Linked DNA regions of Oryzias latipes. The protein of the gene in region 2 interacts with the protein of the main gene of each other region in a pairwise test. Links are inferred from orthologs where the notes say so. Each region holds a gene or a part of one and is shown on either strand. Other genes may lie near its edges.

What was found.
Region 1: the proteins of slu7 (region 2) and ppil3 interact in binary tests that used the Homo sapiens proteins (3 or more experiments, as listed by UniProt). The link is inferred for Oryzias latipes from reciprocal best matches to the Homo sapiens genes SLU7 and PPIL3.

The regions. Positions count from the first base shown.
Region 1 is NC_019867.2:2,410,582-2,425,806, forward strand, and holds ppil3 (peptidyl-prolyl cis-trans isomerase-like 3), read right to left. Parts: upstream 8,709-15,225; 5' UTR 8,641-8,708; coding exon 8,614-8,640; intron 8,508-8,613; coding exon 8,433-8,507; intron 8,349-8,432; coding exon 8,255-8,348; intron 7,733-8,254; coding exon 7,665-7,732; intron 7,581-7,664; coding exon 7,462-7,580; intron 6,714-7,461; coding exon 6,587-6,713; 3' UTR 6,416-6,586; downstream 1-6,415. Other genes in the region: uncharacterized protein LOC101161976, read right to left, coding at 1,480-1,638, 1,712-1,775, 1,859-1,895, 1,961-2,030, 2,098-2,191, 4,761-4,939, 5,876-6,049, 6,167-6,190; volume-regulated anion channel subunit LRRC8A, read right to left, coding at 11,587-11,862, 12,183-14,294. UniProt on the Homo sapiens protein: PPIases accelerate the folding of proteins. It catalyzes the cis-trans isomerization of proline imidic peptide bonds in oligopeptides. May be involved in pre-mRNA splicing.
Region 2 is NC_019868.2:17,432,064-17,447,514, forward strand, and holds slu7 (pre-mRNA-splicing factor SLU7), read right to left. Parts: upstream 8,925-15,451; 5' UTR 8,761-8,924; intron 8,600-8,760; 5' UTR 8,592-8,599; coding exon 8,440-8,591; intron 8,347-8,439; coding exon 8,193-8,346; intron 8,116-8,192; coding exon 8,035-8,115; intron 7,622-8,034; coding exon 7,457-7,621; intron 7,236-7,456; coding exon 7,170-7,235; intron 7,090-7,169; coding exon 6,958-7,089; intron 6,306-6,957; coding exon 6,208-6,305; intron 6,128-6,207; coding exon 6,060-6,127; intron 5,878-6,059; coding exon 5,738-5,877; intron 5,520-5,737; coding exon 5,358-5,519; intron 5,270-5,357; coding exon 5,168-5,269; intron 5,080-5,167; coding exon 5,002-5,079; intron 4,930-5,001; coding exon 4,810-4,929; intron 4,728-4,809; coding exon 4,548-4,727; 3' UTR 4,297-4,547; downstream 1-4,296. Other genes in the region: c1qtnf2 (complement C1q tumor necrosis factor-related protein 2), read right to left, coding at 742-1,382, 2,548-2,797; histone-lysine N-methyltransferase, H3 lysine-36 and H4 lysine-20 specific, read right to left, coding at 10,028-10,761, 12,693-12,897, 12,973-13,079, 13,169-13,310, 13,380-13,496, 13,589-13,858, 13,940-14,052, 14,135-14,340 and 1 more. UniProt on the Homo sapiens protein: Required for pre-mRNA splicing as component of the spliceosome. Participates in the second catalytic step of pre-mRNA splicing, when the free hydroxyl group of exon I attacks the 3'-splice site to generate spliced mRNA and the excised lariat intron.

The DNA.
Region 1 (15,225 bases), on a different chromosome or scaffold from region 2:
ATATTCATATTCCAAATTTACTTTTTTAAAACAATTTTAATATTTCCTTTTTTCTTAGAAATATTAAAAAGTTTAAAACATCTTTTTTCAAATTTACATTTTTATATATATATATATATATATATATATATATATATATATATGCACATATATATATATACATTTACACGTGTGTATTTAATTTTATTTTAATATTAATAAATGTTTTTTCTCCCCATTTTAAAGTTTTCGAAGCGTACTTTCGACCTTAGCCCCTTCACACCTATAGATGCAAACATCCATCAAACCAATTCTTTACCAAACTAATTCAGCTTCTGCAAATGGCTAAAACGTGTGTAGCTTTTTTTTTGTTTAACCCCTTGTGCTATCCTACTTTACCATTGGGAGTTGGGTCATCTAGACCCACTAGATTGTGCCCTGAACCTTTTTTCTTCAATGATTTGTGATCTTCACTGGTGTCCATGGATTACATGAAATCTTTCCATCTTTATCCACCTTTGTCATGGTGGGGAGAACACCTCAATGGAAGGGTGGGGGTCATCTAAGATAGCACAAGGGTTAAATACACAGGTGTGTTTAGCCTATCAGGAACTTCAACAGCTGCGTTTACATGGACAAAAGTAATTGGAGTGAAAACCTGATCACTTCCGGTGGAGATGGGGGGGGGGGGGGGGGTTGCTGATTGTTCGATCGTGGTGCATGTAAACAGTTCATTGTTCATTCTGATTGTGGGTCACTGCTGCTCTGGTTTAGGTCATGCGTAGACGGTGTCAACCAGGACCAGTCGCCTGCTCCCCCCATGCGAAGCACGTCTCTGAGCAGAGCAGCCGGACGCGTAGCTCCGTTTGCGGGCAGGGGAGGGTGCTTTGTAATTTATTTACGTGCAGCAAAGATGCACATTGCGGCGTTGAACGCACAGATTTGAAGTTCATCCACAACGAAAAGTTTTTGGCACGTATTAACCTGATCCTCACCGTGCAGCCAAGAATAAAGCACTGGTCGCACGGATTAAAACACTTATGAGCGAACAGGCACCAAATAATAATATTCATAATAATAAAAGCACGTTTAGAAGATCATCAGCTTTGTTTACAGCGGAACTCGCCGTTTCTCCTTCCACGCCCGTTTCCGGTATTTTAGACGGTTCTGCACATGTCCAGATGATTTATTCCGACCAAAAGTGTGGCGTATGCAAACGTTTGTTATAATCGGATGAAGTTTTTCTGGGTCCACGTATACAGTTCAATTCAAACCCCATCTTTGATCTGATCAAAGATATTTGGCACACGTAAACCGCAGCTACTGGCAGGTTAGCGTGTAGGACAATGACCCTGGAGGCCTGAGGTTTGACCCCTAACATCATCCTCGGCCCTCAGTTCAGCTTCAGCAGCCTTCAGCCGTTTCTCTCCAAAGACACAAAAACACGGACGTACTGAAAGGTTTACGAGTATTTTATCAGAAACTTTCACACGTTTAGTTTCATCTTGGACACATGGCGTGGCGACCGCCATCAATCGGCAGGTTGACCCCAGTGATGAAGCTGGCGGCATCCGATGCGAGGAAAGCGATGCTCTGCGCCACCTCCTCCACCTCGCCGGGCCGACCGAGGGCGTGGGTCTCCTTACAGCGAGCCAGAAACTGCAGGAGAGAGGTCGATTCCAGATTCTGGGTTGATGATTGAGCAGGAAGTTCTCCTCCGGGTCATTTTTACCTTGGCGTACTGCTCGTCGTCCAGTCCCGCCCGCTTGTGGACCTCCGTGACGATCACACCAGGGCTGAAAAACACGAGCACGCCGTCCGAGGCATCAGCAAGCGCCTGCGTTTACGTCCAGCTGATTCCAGAGACTTCTATACGTACCAGACAGAGTTCACCCTCACCTGCTTGGGCGCCAGCTCTAAAGATAGAAAAGAGGGTTTCACAGCGTTCTTGGTGCCTCAAACAGGAAAACACTCAACTCACCCAACGCTATGCAGCGCGTGAACTGATCGATGGCGGATTTAGACATGCAGTAGGCCAGCACACCAGGAAACTGAGCAGACGACGACAGTCAGACTCTGCAGAGAACGGAGCAGCTGATGGCGATGGAGGATACTCACAGACCGCTGTCCGTTCACACTGGACACGTTGACGATGGAGCCTTTGGTCTGTACCAGATGCGGCACGCACAGCTGAGTCAGGTGGTAAACAGATCTGAGAACACAGACCTGAGACTTGATATGACGTAACTGCTAAAGTCGTTTTTTTGTTCTAAAGCTACGTTCACATCGCCACTGCTGGTCAGGCGACCACTTCAGATGAAAAGTAGTGAAATCGCGAGTTCTGGCTTCCACGTTCAAAACTCTTCAGCTCGTCAGTAGGAATTTTAGTGAGGTGTACATGGAAGGGGTAAAAGCCTAAACGGGTTTGCGTAAAAAAACAACTCGTAAAAAAGATCATCTGCTCCAAAATCCTGTGTTTGTGCATCAGAACAAGTTATTTCCATTAAAGTCCAGTTCCGAATGCATCAAAGCTTCACATCTCCAATACTTTAGACGTTTTTTTATATTCTGATGATGAAAATGCATCAATATTTGTATTCCAAAGTTGATTATCATTCATTTATTTCTTTCATTTATTTAGTTTATCATCTTACTGAAAACTGAGGACCAAAACGATGGAAAAGTACCTTTAAGGTCTGCCAAATATGATAGATGAGGAAAAATATCGTAATTTTCTTGAATCGTTTAAACGATTTGGTGATTTTTTTATGCAGACATCTCCATGTCTTCACAAACCATACATCAAAGAAACATGCTGCATGCGGGTTTTGTCACTCTTTCACCCCCTTCTTTGCCTTCTGGTTGCTCCTTTTTCCCTGCATCCTCCTCACACCAACCACCCTCCTCTCCCTCCATGAACCTCCTCCCTCAGCATCTTCTCGCCCACATCCCGGCTGTCCCTCCTCTCAGTGTGTCCAGACCACCTCCATCTGCATATGTCTCCAGAACATCGGCTCCTCTGATGGATTCAGTCCCGAACTTCCATCATCTTCCTCTCTCCTAGCTCCAGCTCTGCCTCCGGTCTGCTTCTCAGAATAAAACCAACCGAAACCATGAACCTTTATCATCATGTTCTGCCGAACAGAAGACAGCAAATCTAAGCGGAGGCTAAAGAAGTTTGTTAGGATTTCTACAAACCAAGAGCCAAGAGGAAAAGCTCAGCAACAGTGTGCTGACACGGTGAGCTTTCCTGAAAGCTGCGCTGGCAAGAGACAGTGATGCTGAACTGAGCGCGCTCACAGAGGCTGACAGCTTTCAGCTCGGCTGCAGGCGCATTTCTGCCCGTAGCTCCTGTGTGATGAGCAGCCCTGATTTAATTAGAGCCTGTTCCACGTGTTCCCATCTCTGCAGAGCAGCGGGCCGCGCCAACGCCCACCTTAGCGGACAGATTACAGTTTCAACAGTTTGCATCGCCACAAGGTGAAGTGAGGTGTAGTGTCGCAGGGGGTGTAGTGGCAGATCTTTGGGAACGAGTTCAGCTGGAGGAAACCACCCAATGCCCCAAATCCCACAAATACTGTAAAATCTCAAAGGATAAAGGCCCGTACACACCGGGACGAATATTCGCCAGGCGTTATTCGCCAGCGTTTTTCGCCACGTTTTTTGTGTTCACACCCAGGCGATTTTCGCTGACGATGAGTGGAGTGAACATGCAATTTCATTCCCTGACATTAGATGGCGCTTAATGTAAAACAGAAATACTCCTGTACACAAGGTGGCGCTGCGCAACTTTACGCTTCTTAAAGTCGCTTTTCACTCAGAAGAAGAGAGCAAGTATTTACACGCTTGTCAGAATCAAACAAAGAAAACATGAATATTTCAAGCACCAGTAGCTCCAACTGGTGCTTGGTTCGGGGATGTTTTAGAATGTCCGTCATTATTGCTTCGCGGCTGTGTAGACGCTACTTGGCGTCTATCTTCTTCGCTGGTATGTGTGCTCAGCAAGGCAGTTTTGTGTTTGAGCGCCCCCAAGTTGTGTTTTACTGTAACTTCAGAAGCTCCAGACACGTGAGCAAAAGCGCCATTCTCATTGGTCGAGTAGATTTCGACGCGACGCGTCGAAAAAAAAAAACGAACCCGAGGCGTTTTTTTTTCTGACGCTTTGTCGCGTGGCGTTTTTTCGCGTCGGTGTGCACACTCTCATTGGGGCCCTTTGTTTAGTCACGAGGCGTTAAACGTCGTTAATTCGTCCCGGTGTGAACGGGCCTTAACAGGGGTGGGTTTTTAGAAGTCCACTTCTATGCCGGGCGGGTCTCAAGCTCCGCCCCTTTCTGATGCACCCACCTGCAGTCCAATTGATCCATGAACGTCTTTGTTTTCCTGGTCTGAGCTGGAATCTGGATCTGAACGACACGCCTGGATAGATCCATCGCTAATGTGAGGTTGGGGGTGTGAGGGGCTGTACGCCAGCACGAGGACACGTAAACAGATGGATGATGGGAAGTGGGGTTAGGGTCGCTTAGCACCAACAGGACCACAACTAATAGGTGAATTTCTAATGAACTCCAGCCGCTCTGCAGAGACTTTGTCTAAAAAAGCGTCATCCTACTGAAAAAAGATCAAAAGAATGATCAGAGTGGGACTTTAAGATTCAGTTTTGGCACCGTGGTCTTCTAAAAAAAAGTGGACGGACTCCTTTTCCTGCGAGAGCCATCATTCCCCGACATCCTGGACTGTGCTGGGCACGGCGCCGTGTCCATCCTCCGTCTTCTGAATCCTACCTGACGTTGACGTCCATGACCTTGTCATACTGAGCCAGGTCTGACGTCTCGATGCTGCCCATGGCCAGGATGCCGGCGCTGTTCACCAGCACGTCCAGCCGGCCAAAGTGAGCCAGAGTTTGCTCCACGGTCTTCCTCACCGTCTCCTCGTCGGTCAGGTCTCCGGGAACCAGCAGCGGCTGCGCAGAAAGGGAGCCGTCATTACGATTTTAAACAAAATGCACATCATTTCAGTCCAACTCAAACGACAGGAAGCACCAAAGCACACTTCACTCCACATTTCTGATTTGTTTTTTGTTTTTTTTATGAGGCTGGCGCAGGCAGGACCTCCTTACAATCCACAGTTTGAAGCAAAACACAAACATCTCAAATGATATTTTGGATAAAAATCCCAAGATGACTCCTAATTATATTAATAATAATAATTAATTAATTACATAATTGATACTTTATTGATCCCACAATGGGGAAATTCTTCTCCGCATTTGACCCATCCCCTGGGGGAGCGGTGAGCTGCAGCCTAACTGCGCTCGGGAGGCAGTAGCGTTAAGGGCCTTGCCTAAGGGCCCTCACTGGGTGATGTTCAATGCTCACCATTGATATGATAATTGACCCATTATCCATGATATTTGATGAGATGAATTCAAACTGTTGAAAAAAGATGTCTTCAGGATCTCGTTATCTGCTTCTTGATGGAACCATCAGTCTGTAAGGTGATCAGGTTGAAGCCTCTCTGGATTATTAACGGGGTTCAGCAGGGCTGTTTACTGGCACCACTGTCGTTCTGTCTTTAGGATTTACCTCCATAGGACACACGTTACACATACGATGCTTTATTGGTTATTTTTTTTTCAGCATCAAAACAACTAAAAAATAAAAAAAGAAAACCTATATGGTAAAAGTGAATATCGTTTTCTGGTTCGATTGGTGGATAAATAAAGGATTAAGTGTACATTTGATTTTGAAGGTTTTTTTCTACTTGGGTTTTCTTGAAATGAAAGATAAAATAACAGAAAACAAGAACCGAAAGCCTTGACATAACCAAAGAGTCATGGAGGAGTTCATCATAAAATAGTGTTCATTATTTTATAGCAGTAAAGGGGGCGTGTCCCCACCTCTGCGCCGCCGCACTGCAGCGTGCATTTCTGGGCTACTTTGGTGAGGTTTTCCACGTCACGGCCGTTAAGCGCCAACAGGGCTCCCAGCTGAGCGAACAGGACGCTGGTGCCGGCCCCTATCCCCGAGCTGGCCCCCGTGATCAGGGCCACTTTACCCTTCAGGGAGGAAACCTAAACAGAACAAACTACAAACATGACGTTTATGCACAAACTAGAGAGGTAGTGTCCTGACTGGAAGACACGTAATCCTAAAATGTTCACGCGAGAGGCGATCGAGAGGCGACTTACTTGAAAAGCGTCGCTCGTTGCCATTTCGGCGAAAATCGATTCAGCAAAAACAGGCTGCGTCCCCTGTTGATGACGTCATCCCACGCGACAAACACTTGCTTGTAGTTTAGCGTTACTTATTAGAATTCTACCTCCAACTAAATAAAAATAGGCTATAGAAAAAAACCTTAACACCAATAAATAAATACATAGAAAAAAAACACAACTTAATTTTATATTTTTGTCACAGAAAACAAATTTACCAAAAGATACAAAAGTGGTATAAAACTTTATTTGGTACAAAAAAAAACGGTCAGAAGTCTAGAGCATTTGCTAAACAAACACAATGGTTTATTTGCCTTCAGTAAAGACATTATTATTTTTTCCTGCGTTTTTTAATCTTCACAGATTTTCACTGAAGCACAAAGTAACGCACAACAGTTATCCAGCAAAAGGGTTGGCGTGAATGGTCACATCTTTGATCCGGGTGTCGGTTATCGGCCGGAATGTCTTCTCGTTCACAGGCAGCTTCTCTAGTTCATCCAATGTTTCCAAGCCGTCAATGATCCTAGAGGCAGAGCAAACCAGAAGTTAAACAACACGACAAAACACAAGGGCTGAGGTGAAAATCTAAGTACTGAAAGCAGCACGGACTGGTTAGATGTCAGACTATATTTTCCCGGACTGGACTGTACGAGGTTAAAGTGGGCGTCCACTTCTTCTTTTTCACTTTACAGCTTACCTTAATTTGAGGGTATAGCTTATCTTCATCCTCTGTAAAATTAGATCTAAAACTAGATTTCCTGTCGGAAGTGCAAACATGAAATCCATTAACCCATAACTGTCAAAGAGGAAGCTAAAAAGAATTCAGCCTTGTCCAACTTTTAAGATGTGACGGATAAATAAAAAAACACGTCATTAAACTGGTATTTTCTAAAAAATAAGAATAAACATGAATTCACTGTTTGAGGAACTTTATTAGCAACATCCTGATCTCATCGGACAGAGAGTTGCTGAATATTCTGCGTTATTATGGTCTGTGGGAACAAGTGTCACAGGAAATCTGGATTTTTGTCTGTCAAGTAAAGCTCTTTTATTTTGAAGTTCTGTTTCCCCACTGACTTTTCTTCCAGAAGAAACTTTCCAAACACGTTTGTTTTTAGGTAACTTTGCTGGCTTGGAGGTTTTCAAGTTAGTGGTTGGCGCAGCTGCTTTAGGAAAGTAACGGATGGATTTTTATCGAAAGCGACTAGACGTGTCAAGAATGATTATTGCAACCCTGCAATAATCTGATCACTGTGGTGCAAGTCCCGTACTTTCCAAAGATGGTGTACTTCATGTCCAGGTGGGGCTGTTTGGCATATGTGAAGAAGAACTGTGAGCCGTTGGTGTTGGGGCCACTGTTTGCCATGGAGACCACCCCTCTGACGTTATGCTAAAGTCAAAGAGCACAAAGCAAACAGACGAGCAGTTGATTCACAGCAGCACATAGTTTGTAAGCAGACTGACTGATACTTACTTTTAGGTGTTCACTGAATTCGTCTTCAAATTTGCGACCCCAAATGCTCGTCCCGCCTTTGCCAGTACCTTTAGTAATGTAAATATTCAAAGAGGCATCAGTGTAGTGATCAGAGGTGGGCACTATCAAGTTATAATAACCCAGATAACTGTGTAAAAATATACTTTAAAACTAGCTTTACTTCTACACTTTTATTTAGCAACTCCAGGCCTCTAATTCACCAGTAAAAACACCAGTGAAAACACAATTGTTTCCAGATATCCTTAAATAAATACTAGAAATACTATAACGATTGTGATTCCTTTTATTTTATTTTTTGCTTGATTTGATGCTTTTTTTGTGTGTTCTGCAGTTTGAAAACACGAGTTGTGAGACGGGGCTTTAAAAAAACTAAACGGAAAAGCTTTAGACAATGAATAAAACTCATTTCAAATTACTCAATACCTGCGTTTTTTTAATATTTATAAGGTAATTTATTCGATGCCTCTTTGATTCCAGATGAGTACTATTATTTTGAAACAATTGTGGAACTAATTCTGACATTTCCGGTGGTTATCAAAATAAAATCAGAATGAATAAATAATCCAAACCAGTTGGGTCTCCAGTCTGAACCATGAAGCCTTTAATGTTCCGATGGAAGACGCAGCCATTGTAGAAACCACTAGCGCACAGCGCCAGAAAGTTCTGAAAACATTGTCAAGATAGGAGTTATAAATAAAGTTTTGTTGCGGTCTAAACAAAACATAGAGACGACTCTTATAAACTCACTTCGCATGCTTTGGGAGTGCGCTCACAGAATAACTCTATTTTCAGGTCTCCCAGGTCTGTGTGAAACGTTACCGCCTGCAAAAACGAACAAAAATAATAAAGAGATGAAGGATTTTAAACGTTGACTTGAAGGCTTCGGATTTCCCCGTTAGCGACAAAAACGTAAAGCTACAACAGTTACCGGAATTAAACAACTAAAATACAACATTAGTGATAAATAACCGAGTAGCTGAACTTTTTCTAAAAATGAGCACAGAGATGAAACATTTCGTAAATCCAGAATTGATTCCTACCATCTCAAATGCTCAAAAAGAGTACCGGTGCATCTCAGAAATGTGTCCGACAAGACCGACTCAGTGGAAACCAAAGGTTCCGCATAACAACCACAGTTTTACCGTCTTAAAAAAAATATTTAAATCTCTATATATTACAGTAACAAACGTAACTTTAAAAGAATGTATAATGAAAAAGGATTGCACTGATGGACGATAAATTTAAAAAAGGATGAACAGCATCCATACAAGATTATTACCTGTGACTTAGAAATTAAAAAAAATTCTAAGCTCGGGATAGAGGAAAAACAAGTTTTGTTCTTATAATTGTCATTATTAATCAATGGATTCTTATCAGTTATCTTTTTCATGTCAAAATAGTAAAATTAACTATGTCAACTTGCACAATGTATGTTTTTAACATAAAATAGCTTGAAAATATAACCTCTTGTTAAGAGAGACAGTTAAACACAGACAGTTAATATAATTTTTTTTGGTCATTTCAAGTCTCTCGAGTGACTATTGGAGTGTAATAAAAAAAATTACATAATTTGTCACTCCTGCCTTCAGATAATCAACAGAAATAAAATAGATTTCAAACAGTTAGAAAGCTCACAGTGTTGCATGGTCTGTAGTTTTTCTTTATTTTGGTGAAAAGTAACACTGAACTGAACTAAATGCAGCTTTTGCATTTGTGACAATTAAAGAAACATGACCTGTAACTTTGTACCCAAAGATGCTTAAAAAACCCATTAAAAGAAAACATCCCGTCATGCAAACACAAAACATCCATGTACTTGAATTGTGCTACTCACAAGGACAGAACTATGATGGAGAAAAGTCAAAACCACAGGAAACAAGTAGTTTCTGAATAAATGCAAACACAAATGCATAGAAGTGTTTCAAATGATGCTGTAAAAACAACAACAAATAAAGTGAATACTTGGTCGTTTCCTGAGAAATTGAGTGGTATTTTAATACGTGCAGTTTTCTTCAAATACACAATCCCTTACATAAGGAAGACATGGTGCAGACAAAGCATTGAACAAACTCATCAAATATGTAATTCCTTTCAAACCCCTTCAATGCAAGACTTTCACAGATAATAAATGATTGTCTTGTTTAATGACCTCTTACTTCCATATCATGAGAACAGTTTAAAGTGCAGCTTTTCATTTCCTGCATACACTGTAAAGTACATCATTAGGCGTCTTAATGTGACGGGTGGGACGGTGCAATCGCATCCTGCAGAACCTCTGATGGAAATCTTAAGCAACTAGACTGCAATTTGGCAAAAAAAAATCCAAATTAAGACAAAATCTACAAATACAGTACAGCAGTTAGACATGTTAGAGAAAAAGACGTTTATTATACTAACATGTAATGCCGCTGCAAAGGTTACAAAGAAACAAACATGGTTTTTTTTCTGCTGACCCACAATCTTGATTGGGGGTTTTTTCACACAAAAGCTAGAAGTAAAACTTTAGCTTTAAGTCAAATGTTAAACCTTTACTATAAAACAACATCTCTGCTACAAATACATGTTTTCTTTTTTTCTTCAGACTTTAGAAATGATAAAAACAAAACACAAACACACACGAATACTGATCCCTTCGTCTGCTAGAAGTGTATCACATACTTTTAACACACACTCACACAAAACACTGTTTTGTCTGTAAATTGTGACGCTGCAGTAAAAAGAAAAATTAAAAAGAAAAAGAAAAAGTTACAAATAAAGGTGACGCAATGAAAAAAGTTTGCTTTATTTGACTTGGCTGTGTAACTTTAATAAAGCTAAATTATGGTCACTTGATAAAATGAGGAGCATCAAGAAACGTGAGAAAACATCCTTAGTCTCCCAACTGTCTGCAGAAAGAAGACGAACGTCTCAACTATCCGAGGAAAACAGACATTTTCTTTAGTTAAAGACTTCCCAGCTCTAATAAAGGAACAAAGAATACAAACATTAAGGCAAAAATAATGTGATAAATAAGTGGTTAAATAATGATAATAATGTAACTTAAATACAACTTTTTTTCTTTTTTTTACAGTTTCTTTCACAAATATAAGATTGATCAGTTTATATTGGCAGAGTGGTAAACAATATTCATGTCACACAATTACTCCCGACAAGCAAACTTCTCTGATGAAGACGTCATGTAACCCCCCCTCTGGAGATAAAACGACTCAGTTCAAACAAATACAAAAAATATTTAAAATAACGTCTCAATATGGTAAAAAGTCACCAATGGCAATTGGTTAAATAAAATAGTAGCTTTTTTTTTGGACTTCAGCCTAAGTCGACATTTTTCCAGGTACATCGATCCATCTTCTCAGTCAAACTTGGTCACCTTCTAATTTAGAATAATAAACAATCATTTCATGAATTATCATCCCTCTAAAATACAAAGACTGATTTTTTACTTCATTCTATAAAACTGGACTTGATTTTCTACATCGGTCTAAATTTTGGAGCTTAAATGAGAGAGAAGCGTGAAAATGTTCCTGTTTGTTGGAGAAAAGTGCAGAGAGTGTATAGTGAGGAGTTCTACAGCATTAGAACATCTATAATCCTTGATTTTACCCATCGCGGGTAAAAATGTGGGAACGCCATCTTGGAATTCCTTAATCCGACCCCAACGGCACTGCTACGTTATTGGAGAAGAAGATAATCACGGGCCTGTTGAGAGACGCCTCAGGAAACTGTTCATAAAGATAAAACTAACCACAGCGACCACAGACAGAATTCCTGCAGAGGGACACAGTCGGCCTCATGGACAGCACGACTGACGCCAACGTCAGACTTCCTTTGGGACGGAGCAGACAGTACTTCCTGCGTCAACACAGAGTTATCAGCGCTCCAATGTCACTGGCGGAGCTTTTCAAACCTGTTCCTTATCGGCTTTCCACAAAAGTTCCTTAACTTCAGAGGGCAGGGTGTTGAAAAGGTCCTCCTCCACCACGAGGCCGGTCCGCTTGAGCTGTCGGCACTCGCCCAGCTCCACGGGGAGACACTCCAGACGGTTTCCTCTCAGCTCCAGCTGCGTCAGTGCGGTCAGCTCTCCGAAGCGGGACGGTAGAGACTGGAGGCAATTGTTTCCCAAGTTCAGGGTGCGAAGCTTCTTGCACTGGAAGAGCTCGTTTGGCAGACTCTCAATCTTTAAGGTTGGGGTGGAAAAAAAAAAAAAAAAGAACGACACATGCAAGTATTAGTTTTTTAAAAGACACCATGAATTGTTTAGCCCGCAAACCCCCCGCCCCCTCCCTTTCACTTTCTTTCAAAATGGCAGCTCTTCTGTTGGCTTTATCTCCATAGATATCAATCGGGTGGGACCAAAACTTCGTTCTTACTGGTACTAGATGCATGCAAAGTTTAGGGAGCTTTGGAGTATGTGCCACTCCAAGGTGCAGTAAGAAAGAAGACAGAATAATCGACCTGAACCACTCGAGGGTCGGGAAGCCGGGTTCAGACACTCACCCTGTTAGCCGTCACTGCCAGGTAATGAAGATTCTGCAGGAAGCCGATGTCTGCTGGGATGGATGTCAAGTTGTTGTGGCTCAAGTCTAAGATGCGCAGCTTGCGGCAATAGAACAGCTGGCTGGGGATCTTCTCAATCTTGTTTCTGTTGAGGTACAGTTTCTCCAGGTTGTTCAGGGTTCCGATCTGGATGGGGATGTAAGCGATCTGGTTGTACCAGAGCTTCAGGCAGACCAGACGATGGAGGTGCTGGAAGCTGATAATCTCCTCGATGGTCTTCAGGTTGTTGTCCTTCAAATCGATTTCCTGCAGGTTGTGCAAACTGAAGATGGAGTGCGGGATTCGCTCCAGATCACAGCGAATGAGCTCTAGTTCTGTGAGATTGACCATCTTCTTCAGACTATTCAGGACCATCAGCTTGGTTCCTTCGTTGTTGATGGAGAGCTTTTGGAGATGCATGCCCACATCGGTCACCACTTGAGGTAGCTTGGTTAGATTGCTTTTCAGACGAAGAACCTTGAGCCTCTTGAGCTCCCGGAGGCCGTCGATGACTATGTAACGGTTGTTCTCGGCGCTGAGGTTCCCCGTCAGATGAAGCTCACTGAGATTCTTTAAGCTGTAGATCCATAAAGGGATTTCTTTTATATCTGTGAACTTGATATGCAAAGACTTCAAGTTTTCACGCAGAAAAGCCAGAGCGGGGGCTTCGATTTTAGCCGGGGTGTGATAAAGCCACATCTCTCGCAGGTTTACCAGCTGGGCAATGATGGGTGGGATGGTGACATCTGGAATCAGCTCCAGCTTGAGAACCTCCAGCTCCATCAGATCAAACACGGTGTCGGGGATGCCACTCAACATGAAGAGGTGCAGTTCTAACTTCTCCTGGGAGTTCTTGGTGATCCTCTGCCGGAGCTTATCCAGAGTCCACTCGTTGTTGAGGTTGAGCTGCCTCAGCTTGTTCTCACTGACTTCTGAAAGGAAGACGGCGAAGCGCTTGGAGTAGAGAGGGTCATACTGATCGATCATGTGCAGCATGAATGCAAAGTCGTTCTTGACGTCTGGTATGTCGCTGTAGCTGCTCTCTTCACGGATGGATTCGAAGGAGTACTTCTTCAGAGAGCGACGCAGCATCCAGCAGAGGGTGTACATGCAGATCAGACCATAAACCACCACCAGGCTTATGTAGAAACAGGCTAGGATTTTAAAAAGAGTAGCTAACGGGTGAGCACAGCGGTAAACACTGTAGCCAGTCAGGCTCTCTATATTAACGGCGCAGTCCACGCTGAATTTGATGTCATGCACGTAATACCCCGTGTAGCAGATAATCAAAATAAACTTGATCACTTTGATGATGGTCTGGCGGATGTACAGTCGGTACACGATATCTCCTTCCTCCACGTGAATGCGGAACTTCTTCACCTTTTCGAAAAGGGCTTTCGCTTGCTCGCCTTCTTTTTTGTCTAAAACTCCCGTTTCTGTGCGATCGACGATGCCCTGCTCGAACAGCGTCTTTGTCCTCTGGAGCATCGGGACGCTCGCCTCCACATCTTCACTTATGACGGATTCTTTGTGGTCCACCGAGCCGTTCATTTTCATGGGTTTGGGGTCGCTTTCCTCGACCACCGTCTCTGACAGAGCCCTGGTTGTCCACGGAGAGTCAAAGCATTTCAGCAAGATGGACACAAAGTGCTCCAGTTTGGAGCTAGTCCGTGGAAACTTGAACCAAAAGTTGCTGCAAGCGAGAAAAATCAGGGTGTGGAGTAATACTAAGTAAGGAAAGTACTTGGCAAACCAGTGCAGTCTGTTTTCGTAGCACACAGCATCAACGTAGTTGTACTGGTGCCGGTCCAGATCATACTGGATCCCTTTGGGTTCCTTGAAAAAGGTCGAGGACAGAATAGAGCTAAAGTTTTTCTTGCAGGTTTCATTGACGACCCATTTGCAAGGCAGGCAGATCATTTTGTCCTGTGTGATCTGCAGCGTTCCTCCAAACACGGAAATCATCAGCATGACGATAGAAATGTAGTCCGTGAACACATCCCACCATGGTTTCAGGATGCGGTATGCTGGCTGTGTATCCACAAAGTACCGCAATTCAGTGATGGGGATCATGGCTTATCTGTAGTGGAAAAAAAATAAAGAAATATTATGGACAGATTGTTTGAATTTTGAAACACTAGTACATGACATTTCTCTCTTTTTTTATTTGAAGACAATGTGGGGTCAGGTGTCTTTCTTAAGGACAAAATGACTGTGTGGCCTGGGATTTGAACCCCAGACCAGCGAAGTGACACATTCCCATGACAAAAAAACCAAAAACAAAAACACAAACAGGAAATCCCTTTTTTTCCCATAACACGTGAACCAGATAGATTCAACGGGTCAAGGAAGGCAACGAACAACAAAATAAAAGGGAATCTGCAACATCATTTAAAAGAAAACTTTAAACTTTTCATTAATTTCTGCCTCAAGCTGAAAGCAATTTTAAAAACAGAATTTATATATGGCTTAAAAGTTACTTATTTAATATTTAAGCAGTTTTATACCATGTTCCAGGTCAATACGCGATTCTGATTGGCTGCAGGGTGTCAGATAATTAAGGGTTATTGGCCGATGAAATGTCCATAATTTTAAATTAATGGACGACACTGAGGTTCAAAGTCCATCTATAAAGTCTGTTAATTTCTGATAATGGACACTTCGAAGGCCATTTTCCCGCGCATGCCATGGTCACATCCAAAAGAAATAAAAATTAAATCAATTGTTAGTACTTTATTCCAGTTATTTTTCCGGTTTAAATAGCTTTTTAACAAAAAATTGACTATTTGTTGTGCGTTGTCATGGTATCAGCTGAGCGGGCATCGACCTCGACTGCGGCGGCAAAGGACAGCGTCATATTTGCTGGTCATGACGATGGGGTCAGTTCAGACAAAGTTCACCTCTTTGTCCAGATGATGAAGATGAAGTTTGTTTTGAAGAAGCCAGAGGAGAACATACACATACAGAACATTTACGCTATGTGACTGGAACTTATTTTTTTAGG
Region 2 (15,451 bases):
ACAAGATGAATCTTATTAAGGGTATATCAGAAGTGGTGGGGAGAATACACAGTTCAGTTGTTAATAAGTTTGTATTGGTTGTTTTCCTTGTGTGATTCTGTTTATCAATACTGCATTTTTTAACATTGTGCTACACAGTATTATACATTATCTAACCAGTGCTCCAAGTAAACATTTATGTTTCACTTACCTTTGCAAATTTTAGAAGTTTCATTTGAACTACATAAACCAGAGGACCTCCCCAAGATAATATAATGCAGATTTTTTTTTTAAATAAAAAAACGTTGAGCAACAATACAATTTTATACAGTTCAGCTGGAATTCACAGTAATCTTCAGTACAATATTTGGAGCTAGTGGTATATCACACAGAAAGAGTGTGCTGATATCAGTTCCGATTTAAAGGAAAACGTCCTGAATAAACCTGCCCCCAGTGCATCAGTGGATTTTGTTAGATGTTAGATTCCCCGGCTACTGAGTTCATTCTCTATGATAACCATGTAACATACACAAAAATACTATCACGTAGACATCTAAACAGGTGAAAGATGTTAGTAAATTAATAAAATAAATGTTTTACTTTGAAAGTTTCAAATGTCACTCCAATCTCAAGGAAATATGTCATGTTTTAATTTTTTTCTTCCTTCTGCGCCCCCTGGTGTCTGAATAAGAAAAAGCATTAAGAGTTTCCTATACAAACGAGAATTCAACAGTTGAGGCAAAATAAATGAGCATCACAGTATCAACTGTTTTGTTCAGTGTGTGATTTTCTATCTGCCTCACTGACAAACTGATGTTCAGGGTTAATAAGAAAGCCAGTAAAGGTGCTGTCGGTCCAAAAAGGGTCAAAAAAGAGTCCATTCTGCTCAGAGTAGAAGATCTGCAGCCAAACCTCGTCAGAACGCTTTAGGTGAAGAACGGTGGAACCAGACGCCACATCATGGTTTCCTGTGTTGCCGTCAAATGTCCTGATCTTGTACTGCCCGTTGTGAACCAGCCCAATGGCCAGGTGTTTGTTAGCCAGTGTGATATCATAGCTAAAGAAGTAGACCCCAGGGATTGCACAGACAAACTTCCCACTGCTGGCATTGTAGTGATTCCCCTCATTCAGCAAGATGCGGTTAAATCGTATTGGTATCCGTTCTTTTGGATAACTCTTTGTCACGGCAACAGAGAAGGCGGATCGGGCTGTGCGGCCACAGCTACAGCCACCTGGAGCTCCTGGCTGGCCTGTGTCACCCAGCTCCCCTTTCTGTCCGGGTTTGCCAGACACACCTGGTGGTCCACGCAACCCCTTAAGTCCTCGAGGTCCTGCTTTGCCAATAACTCCATCGCGACCTTTCACACCTGGCTTTCCAGGATTGCCAGATCTCCCGGGATCCCCTGATTAAGAGAAAAGAACACTGTATCCTAACTGCACATTAGAAACACTCTGTAACTAGTTTTGACATCATTAGTCCAGAAAAAGAGGACTTGGCTTCAAATGTGTTAAGCCCATTATTCTCTAAAGATGTGGGAAAGAAGCTCATTGATTCCCACAAAGCTGTTAAAGCTGTTAAAGGACATCAAAGAGCAGCCAGTGGGCTAAACTCAACATCTGCAAGGATTCTAAAAATCCCTCGAGGACGAACAGAGGAAGTCAAGACAAGAGAGGAAAGTCAAAACGAGAACTATGAAAAGAAAGACGTCCTAACAAAAGTGGGACATGATGGGGGAAAAAAGACCGTTCCTGATCAAGCTGGTTTTTTTTGTTTTAGGTTAGTAAGTGTTTTGAACATGCTTCAAATGAAAGACATCTTCAAGAAGTTTCAGAAGTTGTGTGTCAGGGTTAACCCATGTCTGCTGTGCAGCAGAAAGTACAAATTCTTGTAAGAGAAGGGTTTTACATTAAAATTTGCAGTATTATATAATCGTCTTCATAAAATAAAGCAATAAATGTCATAGTTTGGAGATAGGAGATAGTGGATTTCACAAAACCCATGAGCTTCACTGGAAATATAAAGTTCTGCTGAGTGACACTGGATTGAGTGAGGCTGCACGGTAAAAGGATGGAACCAGAACATCGGACCACCAGAACAAGAATAGTTCAAGGAGACCACCAAAAGAGAAATGTTTGTGACCCCTCAGCACAGTGCTTTGGGCTTCAGTAACCCTAAGTAAAAAGTAGTACACTTGAATTTTCATTTATTAAGTAAATATGAGGATAAGTGTAGGAATTATACTATCTGAATTCTTCTTCCAACTAAATTGTAGTTGGAAGAAATATTTTAGGTTCACAATATATACTGTAGATGTAATATAAAAAGTAAACTTCAAGTATTCTCACTTTCAGTAAAGACCAAGTAGACTTGTAAACTTGAATAGACTCCATTTTGCTAAGGAAACTCATAGCTTTAGTGTTGTGGTAAAGTGATCCTCCAGAATAATCATTTGACAGTTTCAGGTCAATTAATTTAAGTGATGGGTAAATCATTTTGACCCAATGACACAAATTCAATTAGTTACTTAACTTCTCATGAGCAAAAACAATTATGGTTGCAGTGAGTACCTCTGGCCCCCCTTTCTCCTTTCTCTCCATCACTTCCATCCGGCCCGTCCTTTCCCGGTGGTCCCATCAGCCCCACAGACCCTGGTTGTCCAGGTGCTCCTGGATTTCCTGCAGGCCCAGGAGGACCTGGCAGACTGCAGACCAACTGGGACGGATGAACAGTGAGGGGACGATCCCTCTTGGACAAAGGATTTGGCGACTGACCGTTTACGACTGACAGGAAACACATCATGAAACAAAAGTGGAGCATGCTGAGCGCTGGAAAGACACAAACGGGAGAATGGAGCAATAAAGAGGGGGCAAATGTGGCTCCACAGTCCTACATGAAAAAGTTTTAGATGAAAATGGATTCGCCTGGACATGTTTAAGAGAGTATTGACAAAATGCATGCATAGAAGGATAAAGATCCTCCAATCTTTGCATTACCTAAGTGGCACATTCAGTTTTGGTATTCTAAACAATGTTTTGAAAGAAATGCGAGTCATTAATTTAAAGAAAAGGAAAGATCTCTGCTGCGTTTTTTACTAATGGCATCAATCTGCAGCTCTACAAAGATAAAAACACAACTCACCAGTTGGGAAATCAAAGCCTCTTGGGGTTTTCTATCCTATTTCCACAACCTAGATCTCCATGAAAGCTCACCAACGTCTTTGCATGACTCTTCAGCAGCAAAGCGAACATTGTTTTTCTTCAAATCTTTGGAGGAGCTCTTAATGCTGCAAAACATCCGCCCTGTGTTTGGAGGAGATGATGGGCCAAAAATACTTTCACTATGATGTCATATAGCCAGGCCAACTGTACTGCAGTGAGAACACGAGAAACTTTAGCAGAAATGACAGACTAGTACACACTAACACTGTAGACACTGCATCAGTCTACAAAATGTAACTTCAAAAATTCTTGTTTATATTTATTAAACAACTGAAAACTGCAGAGCCAATGCATTCTAACTCAGTAAGGAGAATGTTTTAGCTCAGTGAGGTTCACCTGGAAAACATACAGCATTCTGCTGATATTAGAAAAACATATGTTTGTATTTACATAACCATTCAAAGATTTGGACACACTTTTTAATTCAGTATTTCTTCATTAGATTCTTTAAAAATTATCAATGGAAACTAATAAAAAGCTGAACATGTTTTTTTGTAATTCAGTTGGATATTAAGCCATGGTTTCTCAAATGCAAACTCTATGATGAAATATGATAAATATCGTAATAAATAAGTCATAATAAAGCAAAACTATATATTAGTGTCATAAATCAAAAACTGGATTACCTATTAAGGTTTTGATGGTAAAAATATAAAAAATGCTGTTATTACTTTCTTCAAACCAAATTTTTTTATACATAATATGCAGAGTAATAGTGATTTCTTCACATTTTTAGGGATTTATTATTAAATTTGATCATTTTTATAATACTCCCAACGCGTACCATACAGTACAGTGGAACTGTGTGCTTCTGTGTGATGAGTAATATTTTCTCCTGTTCAATTATTTTATTCTGTTTACTATTTCTTATTGAGATCTCCTGATGTACTTATTTTGTGTAAAAAGTTTAAGCTCATTGTACAAATTGTACAAAAACCCCTGCATGTTTTTACATTGTCATTTTTTTTAAATTAGAGAGAAAAATAACAAAAATTTGAACAAAAAGCACAAATAGTTAACGTTAGTTGCATCTACTTGAACTGGGTTACTTTGGATTAAGAAATTTATTTTTTTCCAATAAAAATAGTAAAAAAGATGTATTTTTACACAAAAATGTTGTTTAATGTAAAAAGCAGACCTCATGTTGAAAGCGACAGACATGTTCTGCACATCAGCATAAAGGTATGGAACAAAGACAAGATGTTTTTTCAAAGGCTAAACGTCCTACAAAGGTGTGAAAATTCATTTCAGAGGACAAAAATATGCATTCTTTCAGCACTTCCAGTGCAGGATTGTTGCTGTTTTCATCTGACTTGTTTATTCTGAGTCTTTCTGGATTTGGTGGTGGATCAGGGATCCAGGAAGGACGCCATGGGATCGTCTGGTCGTATGCGCTTCATGCGGAAGGCTTCCATCTCTTCCTCGGTGGGCGCCTTAACTTCATACAGGCTGTTGTAGGGCCTCTTCCTCTCATCCAGCTGCATGATTGCATCGACCTGCTTCACTCGCTTGTCCTCTGCGTCCAGAGCCTGGATGAAAGTATGACGTGGAAGCTTAGCCATCCAAAAAAAATGACAATAAATGACACCAAAAAAACCCGTTGTACTGCACCTTCTTCAACTTCTCCTTCTTTTTTTCTTCATCCTCTGAGTCGCTGCTGTCTGAGGCCCGCTTCTTGTTCTTTTTGTTCTTCTTTTTCTTCTTCTTCTCTTTCATTTTGTCTTGATGCATCTTTAGAATGAAGACAAACGTTTAAACTTCTTTTCTAAATAGCTGTCTCTTCACATGCTCGTGGTCACTTACTTCCAGGAGAGTCTTGGGCTGTTCCTCCTCTTGATTTTCAATCGGCCCGTCTTCAAACGGAACACAGTCTGAATTGTTCTGCAGGTTGATAAAAGAACCAAACATCTGAGTAAACTGAAGAACGTCAAGTCTGAGAGGGCATGTGTGAGGGCAGCCGTGCACTTACTGTTTTGAATCCAGTATCTCCAGTGCAGTAGCTCTGTTTGATCATCGAGTGGCAACACTTGTATCCCCAAAAGCCATCTTTCCAGTAGGAGCCCCAAATACACTACCCAAGAGAAAAAGGAGCATCAATGTGATCATGAGAAAAGTAACAGGAACATTTCCCACAAAAACGATTGTCCTGTTTTTCCTACGGTGTGGTTGTTGATGAGGACGTCTTCCTCATACTTGGAGCGGGCGACGGCCTTTTCAAGGCCTTTCAGAACGGCGCCGTGACGAGAATATTCCACATAGTCCTCAGTTTGGGCCAACAACAACTCCCGGGGGGGTGCGTCCAAGTGCTCTTGTCCTCCATACTGAGAGCCGCACACACAAATGGGAACAGATTTATACAGTAAATAATAAATGGAATCATATTTAGGTTACAGACTGAAGGGTGGCCCAGATAAAAACAAAACTATTTTCAAAGTCTAAACATAAACTACTAATTCAGTGAATAATTGAGTGGGGCCACATTTTCAAATGTCAAACTTTTGTGCGGCTAAAGATTGTCATGGTGGGGTGAACTGGGCACCTTCTCCAGGATGCTCTCCCTCTGTTCCTCTTTGAAGTCCTCCTTCTTCACTCTAAAGGAGCGGTGGAGCAGCTCCAGCTTGGTGGGGTCAGCCTGAAGATGGACCTCGGAGCCTCTCTCATAGGCCTCCCAGGCAAACACTGACAGGAAAACCACAATGAAAACAAGCTGTCGCACACAGACACACGCCTACAGAGAACCGTACATTTCTTTTGATATGAATCAATAACATATGTGCAACACAAGAGCCCATCAGCTTCCATTTAATCAAAGCTCGACGATTTTGACATTGTAAAGAAATGGAAAAACAGTGTTGACTCACGCTGGGTTTGAGCCATGCTTATTGTAGCTCCAGAGTAGCGAGCAAAGTTGTCTCCAGCGTACCCAACTCTGCAACACGCAGGGGGTCAGTCATTGCAGAAGATCCCGGAAAAACTAACACTGCCTTTTGAAAGATAATAGTAACTCACTCATCAGGGTTCATGCCAGTGTTGGAGTACGGGTTCTCTCTCATGGCTCGGGTTTTTGGATCGTAGTACGCTGAATTTGGATCCAAATTTCTCAGGTACTGAAGAAGAAAAGATGTAAGAACTTCAGGGTTTTTACAGTCTAGGAAATTACAGTCAAACACAGTTTTTATTTGCTAAATTTAATTAGAGATTTTATGTAAAATATATTGAAGATCTAAATAATTTTATTATTATTTACTCTTACAAAAAGGTCATTTTTTAATATCAATGTTATAAGGCCTAATCAAGCTTAATCATCATAGTTTGTTTGTTTTTTAATTTATTGAAGAAAATTATTTAGGTATGTGACATAGCAGCACGCCAACTGTTAACTTAAATTTATCTTAAAACAGCAGTAAAGGATAAAAGTTAAGGATAAAATTCAAAGAAGAAATACGTCTTTGCTACATCGATGGAGCAGTGTACAAAAAAAGGAGCCGTGTGTAGCAACAGAAGTGCAGATAATTCTCATTTTTTGTTGCTTTTAGATACTTGTTTACAAAAAATCTGATAATTTTTGGTTTTAGATTGAACTCTATAGAAACTAATATATTTAGGTTATCCTGTCAGTTCAACTGAGGCTGTGGTTGTGGAAGAGCACAGAAAAACTTTCAAAATATCTGCCACCAAACTAAATATATGCAACCCATCTCAAACCAATGTTTAAAAAAAGACTAAAATATTTGGCTTTTTTGTTCATCTGTTTCTTACTTTAGCTGTGTCTTCTCTGATACGCAGATTCCTGACGGTGATTCGTCTCTTGGAGTCAAAGTTCTGACCGGGCATGTCGATGTCGTCTGCATATTTGTCTTCATCCTCGTCCTCGCTGTCGTGTTCCCATTCCTGCTCACAGAAGACGCAGCAACTCAAAAGGTCATTGGAAATATTATATCAGAACAATCTTTGTGGACACTTATACCTACATTTTGGTCCAATTTCCCTGAGGCCAACTCATCTTGAAGTTTATGCGCCTTCAGAGTCCTTTTAGCCTGAGAAATAAAAGAATTGGGGTTTCAGGAGCAAAGCAGAACATACGTGTTCAGCAAAACATGAACTGCTTCAGCCATATTTTGAATTTCATGCTAAACTAATGATGTTTAGGTTACATTTTAGTGAATAACGGCAGCTAAATGAATAGGGGGGAAAACACAGCAGCATCAGCTTGAATACTTTCCACACCTACATTTTTGGGAAACGTATATCCACTTACCAGATCGACTTTTGCGTACTCTTCAACAATGCGCTGATGCTCCTCGGGGTCATACCCGTTCCAGCGATCACGCTTTCCATCATAATCCAACTGCAGCTGAACCTGACTGTGTTCATCTGGAGCAATGTCTGTTCCTGTGAACTTTGCACCAACTTTCCTGGGTCGCTGATGAAATACGAGTGAAACTTAAACTTTATCGTTGTTTTTAACACAGTGTATTACTTGAAAATACAGCAGAGATGGTGCAGAAAATACATGCCTGCCCTGCAATTGCATTTTTTTGTCTTCTCCTGCTTTACCAAAATTTGTGTAAAGAAATACTCAGAAATGCAATTGCAAGCTTAATTCCCTCAATATGTCCTCCATCATATAAAAAAGTTGGAAAGAGAACATGTTAAAAACACAATTTTAACTGGACTGTCTTTAATTATGATGGGGGTATAATTGTGTTTTAGCATTGTGAGTTAACATTGTGTGTGAAAGTCTTTGTTTTTTGGTTTTAAATTAAAAAATATTTGTACTATGTAAAGCTCTTTGTGTTACATGCGTATGAAAATGTTTTTTTCAAAATGTTTTACCTCCAAACAGTCTTTCTTCTTGTGCGTCATGGCACCACAGTTTTCACAAGCACCCTTTCGGAATTTGGTGACGACCACATTCTGCATGAGATCACAAGTTCAGTCTTCATTCTTAGGAGTCAACACCACATCAAAGTATTGATTCTATGGATCCTTGCCTCCTGGACTCCTCTCTTGTACCACTCGCCAATGGCCGAGAACTGTTTCTGGTTTTCATCCTGTGGCCTCTGATGTTTTAGTGTTGGTCTTTTAGATGGATCGATGTACCATGGGACTGATGAAATATATTGCGGAATGTGAGGGTTTATGTCCCTAGAGAAAAGGATGAATAATAAATTGAGTTCATGTATTTGAGTTGACAGTATTGGACCTATTTCATCATCTATCTTCTCGAGGTTTACATACTTTCCCTCCTCGTCCACCTCAGCTGGAGCATTTCCCAGCTTCCTCTGCTCCTCCAGCTCCTTCTTCTTCCTCCAGTCCTCCCTGGTCATCTTCTTGGGTTCGTCGAGGTTCACGACGCCCTCGACTGGACTGGTATTCGCCTGCTCCGTCATGACTGAAACTGGATTTAACATATCTGTACTTAAGCATTTCATTTTCATCAATTTTGTGTTGTTTTATGTGTTTTAAACAGGAGAGCATTTTCTACGTTAACGTTAGCTTAGATGTAAAAATGTTAGCAAAACAATTTGATTGTGGACAGAATTTACAAGATAACCTTACCTTGTTACTGGAAGAAGAAAAAATGAAGAATGTCGCTTATGTCTTTTTAAAAATAATTATTTTAATTATATGCTCGAAAACTTTAGCCTTTTGAAAATAATGCGCTGTGTTTTGGTTAAAACGCAACCACCGCCATGTTACTCCAACTATCTTCAGGTACGTCACATCCGCTTTCGTCGGAAAGTCAGGCGTCACAGCGGAAAACAGCGACATCACGTGGACACCAGATGCCTTCAAAATAAAAACCATGGCAAAATAAGAATCCCGTCACTCACTTCCGATTGGAGTTTGTTGGACAGTAGTTATTTTTCTTTTATAATTGGATTTGTAATTTTTGCTATAACAATAATAATGGAACTAACGAAAATAACCCAACTGAATTTGTTCAAAACAGACAAAATCGTTCAGTGGCTGTTTGTGGTTTCTAATCTCATAGTTATAATAAATAGATCAATAAATACTGCACTTAAAACGTGTTCATAAATGGGAACAAATGTAAAAGTAGTCTGTGTACGACCTATTGATTATTCTAAATCTTCCTTAAATATTACATCTCCCTTGGGTCTTTTGAAAGAGACAAGATTTGCAATGAGAGGAATATAACATTTTCCCAAAAATCACAGATCAAATTAAGTAAAATTAAATTAAAAAATACAATAAAACAACTGTTACTATTAGTGTTATTTATGGTGGAACTTCCCAAAAAAAACTCTACATTTAACAGGGAGGAGAAACATCCATCAGTTTAATAAAAATATTTTCTGTCATGAGAAGAATTATCCAGAGCCCCATAATAATTCCAGTGGGTTTATTTTTGCACTTTTCACAGACACTGTACTGCAGTGCCCCAAGTGTAACATGGACCAGTGGGAGAGCACGTTTCCATGACCCCTATAAAGAAAAGACGACATTAAGACAAAAACGGCAGCATAAGATGCTCTTTTGATGACAGTTTGGTCAAGTGAAAACTTCCCACTTCTTATTTATATTCCAAACATATAGATAAAAAAATAAAGGCAGGAAATGTAAACAGTGAAAGGTGAAACAACAGAACAAAACAGCACCAGACACATAAACATATTGGCAGAAATATAAAAAAGATTAAGTGAGATAAGCACCGGTACACATCTCCGCTGTCAGTCCAGCAGTGAGGAGATGAGAAGGCAATGTTGTACCAAAGTGAAGGCAGTGTAGCTTTCATGGAGGTACCAAAATATCTCTTCTGCCATAGTCTACTAAATATTCTTGCTGATTTCTAAAGAAAGAGTTACTTTTCATCTTCCAATTTACCCCAAGATTCAAAATCCTCCTCTTCCACCTCTCCGTCATCATCAAAACAGCTACCCCAGGGGTCATCCTCATCCTCCCCCTCCTCATCTTCCACCAAATCTCCACCATAAATGGGTTCCTCCTCTTTCTCTTCCAACATCTCTGTGTCGTTCTCCTCGTCCTCTTCATCTTCCTCCACTTCTTGCATGTCCAACGCACAGACCTCCCCCTCCTCCACCTCCCCGTCCTCCCTCTCATCCTTGGAGGAGGCGGACGAGGAGGTCGTGGTTTCTTCCGTCGTGTCTGCGAGGTAGGAGCTGCTGGAGGGGATGAAGCTGGAGGTAGCTGTCTTGGTGTTGATGTAGAGACGAGGAGGAGGCTCTCGCTTGGATGCTGCTGTTTGGCTGTCAGGGTAAGAGATGGGAACATAGGGAGAAGAAGAGGAGGAGGAGGAAGAAGAGGATGATGCTCTTCTGGCATCTAGGACCGGTGCAGCCACCGCGCCAGGCCTCACAGAGGCCATGCTGGGCATGTATTCCCGTATCTCTCCTGGCTCAAGTGGGTCAGGTCCACATGGGTCGTGTTCGCTGCAGGACAACTTTCCATCCAACTTGGAGATGAAGAGCATTCCTTCTCGATGCTCCTTACAGTAAGAGCTTGGGCACATCTCACAGAACGAAGCAGCCTCTTTTCCACAAAGGTCACACTGGTGCCAGGGACACTCCCATCGCCCTGGAATCGAGATTTATGTTGCAATCAGAGGAATCACTTCAAATGAAAGCACTATTTCAAACATTCATTTTCATCGGATGCTAGGTGTGTTGGTGAGTTTTTGAGTGCGTGGCGGGGGTCAAATTGTCGCTCAAACGCGCAGTAAGAAAGAAGAATTTCAAAAACATTGCGGGACAGAGTAAATCTAAATCAGTTGCAACTTGCATTGATGTGAGGGAACAACAGTTGCAATAATTAAAACAAAAAGAATGTCATGTAGGTGTTCTTTCTGTGCTTCCTGGTACCATTTGACCCACAAACCAGTGGCCCTCGATAGGGTTGTGCCGATGGATGATGCTGGCTGACTGACATCAGGCCCCCGCCACGCTGACATCATAAGCCGCGGTTACATGTGCAAAATATCTTTATCGGATCAATGGTCGGATTAGAATTCAACCGTGTACAAGGGCCCAGAAAAGTTTTTTCCGATTATAACAATCGTTCACATGGGTCACACTTTCGGTCGGAATAAATCATTCGCACATGTACAGTAGTGTTTGAAATACCGCAAGAGGAAATGAGTTCCTTAATATCCTAAATGATCTTCTAAACGTGCTTTTATTAATGTTATGGTTATTATGAAGTGCCTGTTCGCTCATCATTTTAATTTAAATCCGTAGGGTCAGTGCTTTTTCTGTTGAAGAACGGAGCTGGAAGAAGCCAGTGCTAGGAGAGGCTAACACGGGTTAACAACATTTAGCCTTTGATGAACATAAAATCCATGCGGGAAATGCTGCAATCTGCAGCTTTGCTGAACGTAAACATGTGGGAATAACATCAGCTTTTATTTAGTCGGGACACGACTGGAAACACAAATCCAGGTGATTGTTTGAACGGTTTCTAAGGACTGAGCTACATGTCTGCTTTGAAAAGCTCACACACCGCCCCAAACAAAGCCCCTGTGTGTGTGCTGGCGGTCCGAGCTCTGCCCGGACACACACTTTTACCGGAAGACCCGGTTCTCCTGAGTTCGGTAGCTCGTTCACCTAGAGCTGCGGGACGGATCGCAGTCCGAAGTCTCCCACACATAGCGGACAGGTAACAAAGCATCCTCCCTTCCCCTCAAACACAAAGTCCGTCTGCTCTGCTCAGAGACACGGTCGCTCGGTCCACCGGTCCACTTGACTAATCAAGTGCAGGAACGGACTACTTCTTTTCTATTTTGTTTGTTATTATTATTATTTTTTGTTAAAGTCACTTCCCTCAGTTTATACTGCATCATCGCGGATGAGTCATTAGCTGGGAAATAAAATAAATGAAGTAATAAATAATTATATAATAAAGAACAATTAAAAATACCCCCCCCCAATGATATCATCATCCATCCCGATGGTTTACTGCAAAAATCGTCAACTGCCAATTTAAGGGACATCGCCCAACCCTAGCCCTCTACCACCGGGGAGTTAAGGACCCCAGCTTTAGACATGTGTATCACGCACTTACAAAAGCTGCTCACCTGGGGGCAGTACTGTCCTTACAATGGATAACTAAGGCAGCACCAGAGAAGGTGAGCATTCCCATCTGCTCACAAAAAACGGACTATTCCAGGACATTAAGTCTGAACCAATCAGTCCAGGTGGGAAGGAGCCATTAAACTGCATTACTAGTTATGCTTTTATCAAGTGACTTAAGCTTTTCTTCTGGTTTACTATGCAAACAACACAAAATCTCTGTCTAAACATTCAAGCCTCCATGAGAATTCACTCTAAAAAGTGTATAAAAGTGACAAAGTAATGTGGCAGGTTAATATTGTTTGTTGTTATTAAAAAGTCAGTATTTTTTTTAGGAAAATGCAGCTGAGGCGGAGTGTCCAGGACTCTGAATTCAGCCTCCCTGAGTCAGACTGATCTTTAGAACGTGTGGATCAACGGTAAACCACAGGAAGTTCTGACCTGCAGGCCTCTTGGCGAGGTTGAGGCAGTCGGCATGATAAACCTTTGGACAGCCCGGCTTCTTGCATGACACTATCTGACCCCCGTCGCCACAGCTGAAGCACTCGTCCTCCCGCTCCTTCATCACTTGTTGCTTGGTCTTCTTCTTCATGCCCACTCTCCTCTTCCCTTCTTTTAGTTTGACCTTCTCCGCTGGGGGCTGGTTCTGAACGACGAGGAATGAAATGATCAGTTATGGTTTAAGAAGGTGAGCTAAGATGTTTTCAGCGTAGATGTGTACTTTTGGTCGAACACCCAGGAAGCCGCTACAATTGGGCGCTCCGCATTTGCAGACCGTCTTGCCGTTGCCCCGACACTCAAGATTGTAGTTGAAAGTCAGCTCCTCTCCTGAAGAACATTGGATTTAACCCAAATAAGTGCAAAATGCATTGAAAGGGAGAAAAAAAGGAGAAAGGAAACAGCTGATTGTGTCAAACCTTTGGCGATGTCCTGCAGAGCAAACAGCCCCACCCGCGTGTCTCCATTCACAGTCCACTTCTGCGTCTCGCAGTTCGGCTGGCAGCTGTGGTTCATGAAGCGGGCCTGGTTCCCTTTGGGCCCAGCGTCAATGACCCGGTCCTGAGGAGAAGAACCCACAAATCACCATCTCTGCTGAAAGAGGCCTGTGTCTGCAGGGGTGTGGCTCACCTTGTCCAGTGTGAGCATGTAGAAGTTACAGATGTCGTGTTCCTGAGCGTGCCTGATCCTGGCTCGACACTCTTCCTCATCTATAACCTCCCCCACGTATTCACTCACAAATGCTCCCTGTGGTTGAAACAGAGAATGCTCACACATTTAACAAAAAAGAAAAAGACACAAATACCCCTAAAAATCGTCAGTTTTTTTTTTTTTTTTACCTTCTTGATGTCGGACACAGCCCGCAAACCCCACCCACAGGACAGCGTCCTATAGATCTCTACAGTTGTGTACTGACGCTTTGTGAAAGCCTGGTTCTGGCACCGTTCCCCTGCCGCGCACACCTGGGGATGGCACTCGTACATCAGCATGCGGTTGATGCATTCAGAGTCCGCGCCGCACGGGTTCTCGTCGGAGGCTTTGCAGTTGCAACGAGGGACCTCAGACAAGTCTGCTGTGATGATCTGCACCTTCCCAATGGGCCTGTTCACCTAAAACACCAATGGATTTGTCCAACCTTGGTCAGATGGCAAAACGACAAACGCGGTCATGAGTGACGGCTCACACCGTACCTTTATGTGTCGATATGGAGGCGGTTTTTTGTCGTTCTTCCTGTCCTCCTGGAGCTGCTTCATCTCTCGCTCTGTCTGCAGCTCTTTGAAGCGTTCTGCTGCCTCGCTTAGAGCTAGAGACAAATGTGGACATTCAAATTTGAATCTAACTTACACAGAAGGCAGTTCATGGGTAAACACTTGGAAAAAACATACCCTTTTTATAGATTGCGTCTGCACCTTTCCCCATTTTCTCGATATTGTGAGTGTCCCCCTCCATGTAGGGGAACACCCTGGCCTGGTATGTCCACACGAAATCTTTAGAGCCAAAGAACTGGACCGGGAACTCCCCCACCTCATGCTTCATCCTCAGGATGTTGTTCGGGACGTCTCTGGCCAGACACACCTCAGCGGGCCACCACCTAAATGATCAGATCAGACAGAAACGCAGGCTCATCAGGTGCTGCACACAGAGGCTGCGCACACGGTGGGGGACGGGGGTCCTCACCTGTAACGGCCCCATTTGACCCAGAGGATGTCCTTAATGCGCGGCTTCTTTCCCGCCTTGCAGTCGTTGCAGAACCAGCTCCCTTGAGGCATCTCAATGTTCAGGCATTCTCGGTGGAAAGCAGCAGGACAGGCTTCGCAGCACAGGAGGCTGCCCCCTGTGGAGTCCCAGCACACCCATGAACCACTCAACCTTCACCAAAAGCCCCAATCTGTCTCTGGACAGGGACTAAGAACCAACATCTCTCAAATTCCCAAATAGGAACTTCAAAAATAGTCAGAAAAATCATCTCATAATCAATTCTAAACACAAAAAGAAAAAAACAAGATAAGAAGTGAGGTTTAGTTTTTCTACTGCTAATTAAAGTCATGGGACTTTAAGGGAAACTCCTACCCCAACCAAAGGAACCTGTTCTGTTTCTTTCTGTTTCCTGCAGAAGTCCAAGAATGATTGAAAACAAAAGTCACCAAACAGAATTTAGATCTGGTTGAGTGTGAGTGTAAATGAGAAATGTGTCTCATTGTTGTGCTGCTGCCTCTTAGCCAGGACGCTCTTGCAAAAGAGATTTTTAATCTCAATGAGTTTTTTTATCCTGGTTAAATAAAGGTTAAAATAAAAATAAATAAATAGAAAAAATCTACAGAAGCTGCAAATAGCCTACTTAGCTGTTTTACTGGTCAGTTTTCTCATGATAGTAACTTCTATCTTTTTTCTTTTTCTGTATCCTCATAGTGATGGTTTCTAGTCTCTCGTTATTAACTGTATTTAATTTCTAATTTATTGTTTTAACTGTATGTTTTTAGTGTGATGATGCCTTTTGTCCCAGGTCTCCCTTAAAAAAGTAGTTTGATCTTAATGGGACTTCACGGTAAAATAACAGTCAAATAAAATAAAATAGAATAAAAAGGATCACAGGAAAGCAAGTTTTTTCGCCTGATATTGAGACAATGTATTTCTCTAGCAAGAGAACACTGAAAATTGGATTTTAATTGGTGATTACTGTGTATCTGTAGACACGAGAGGTC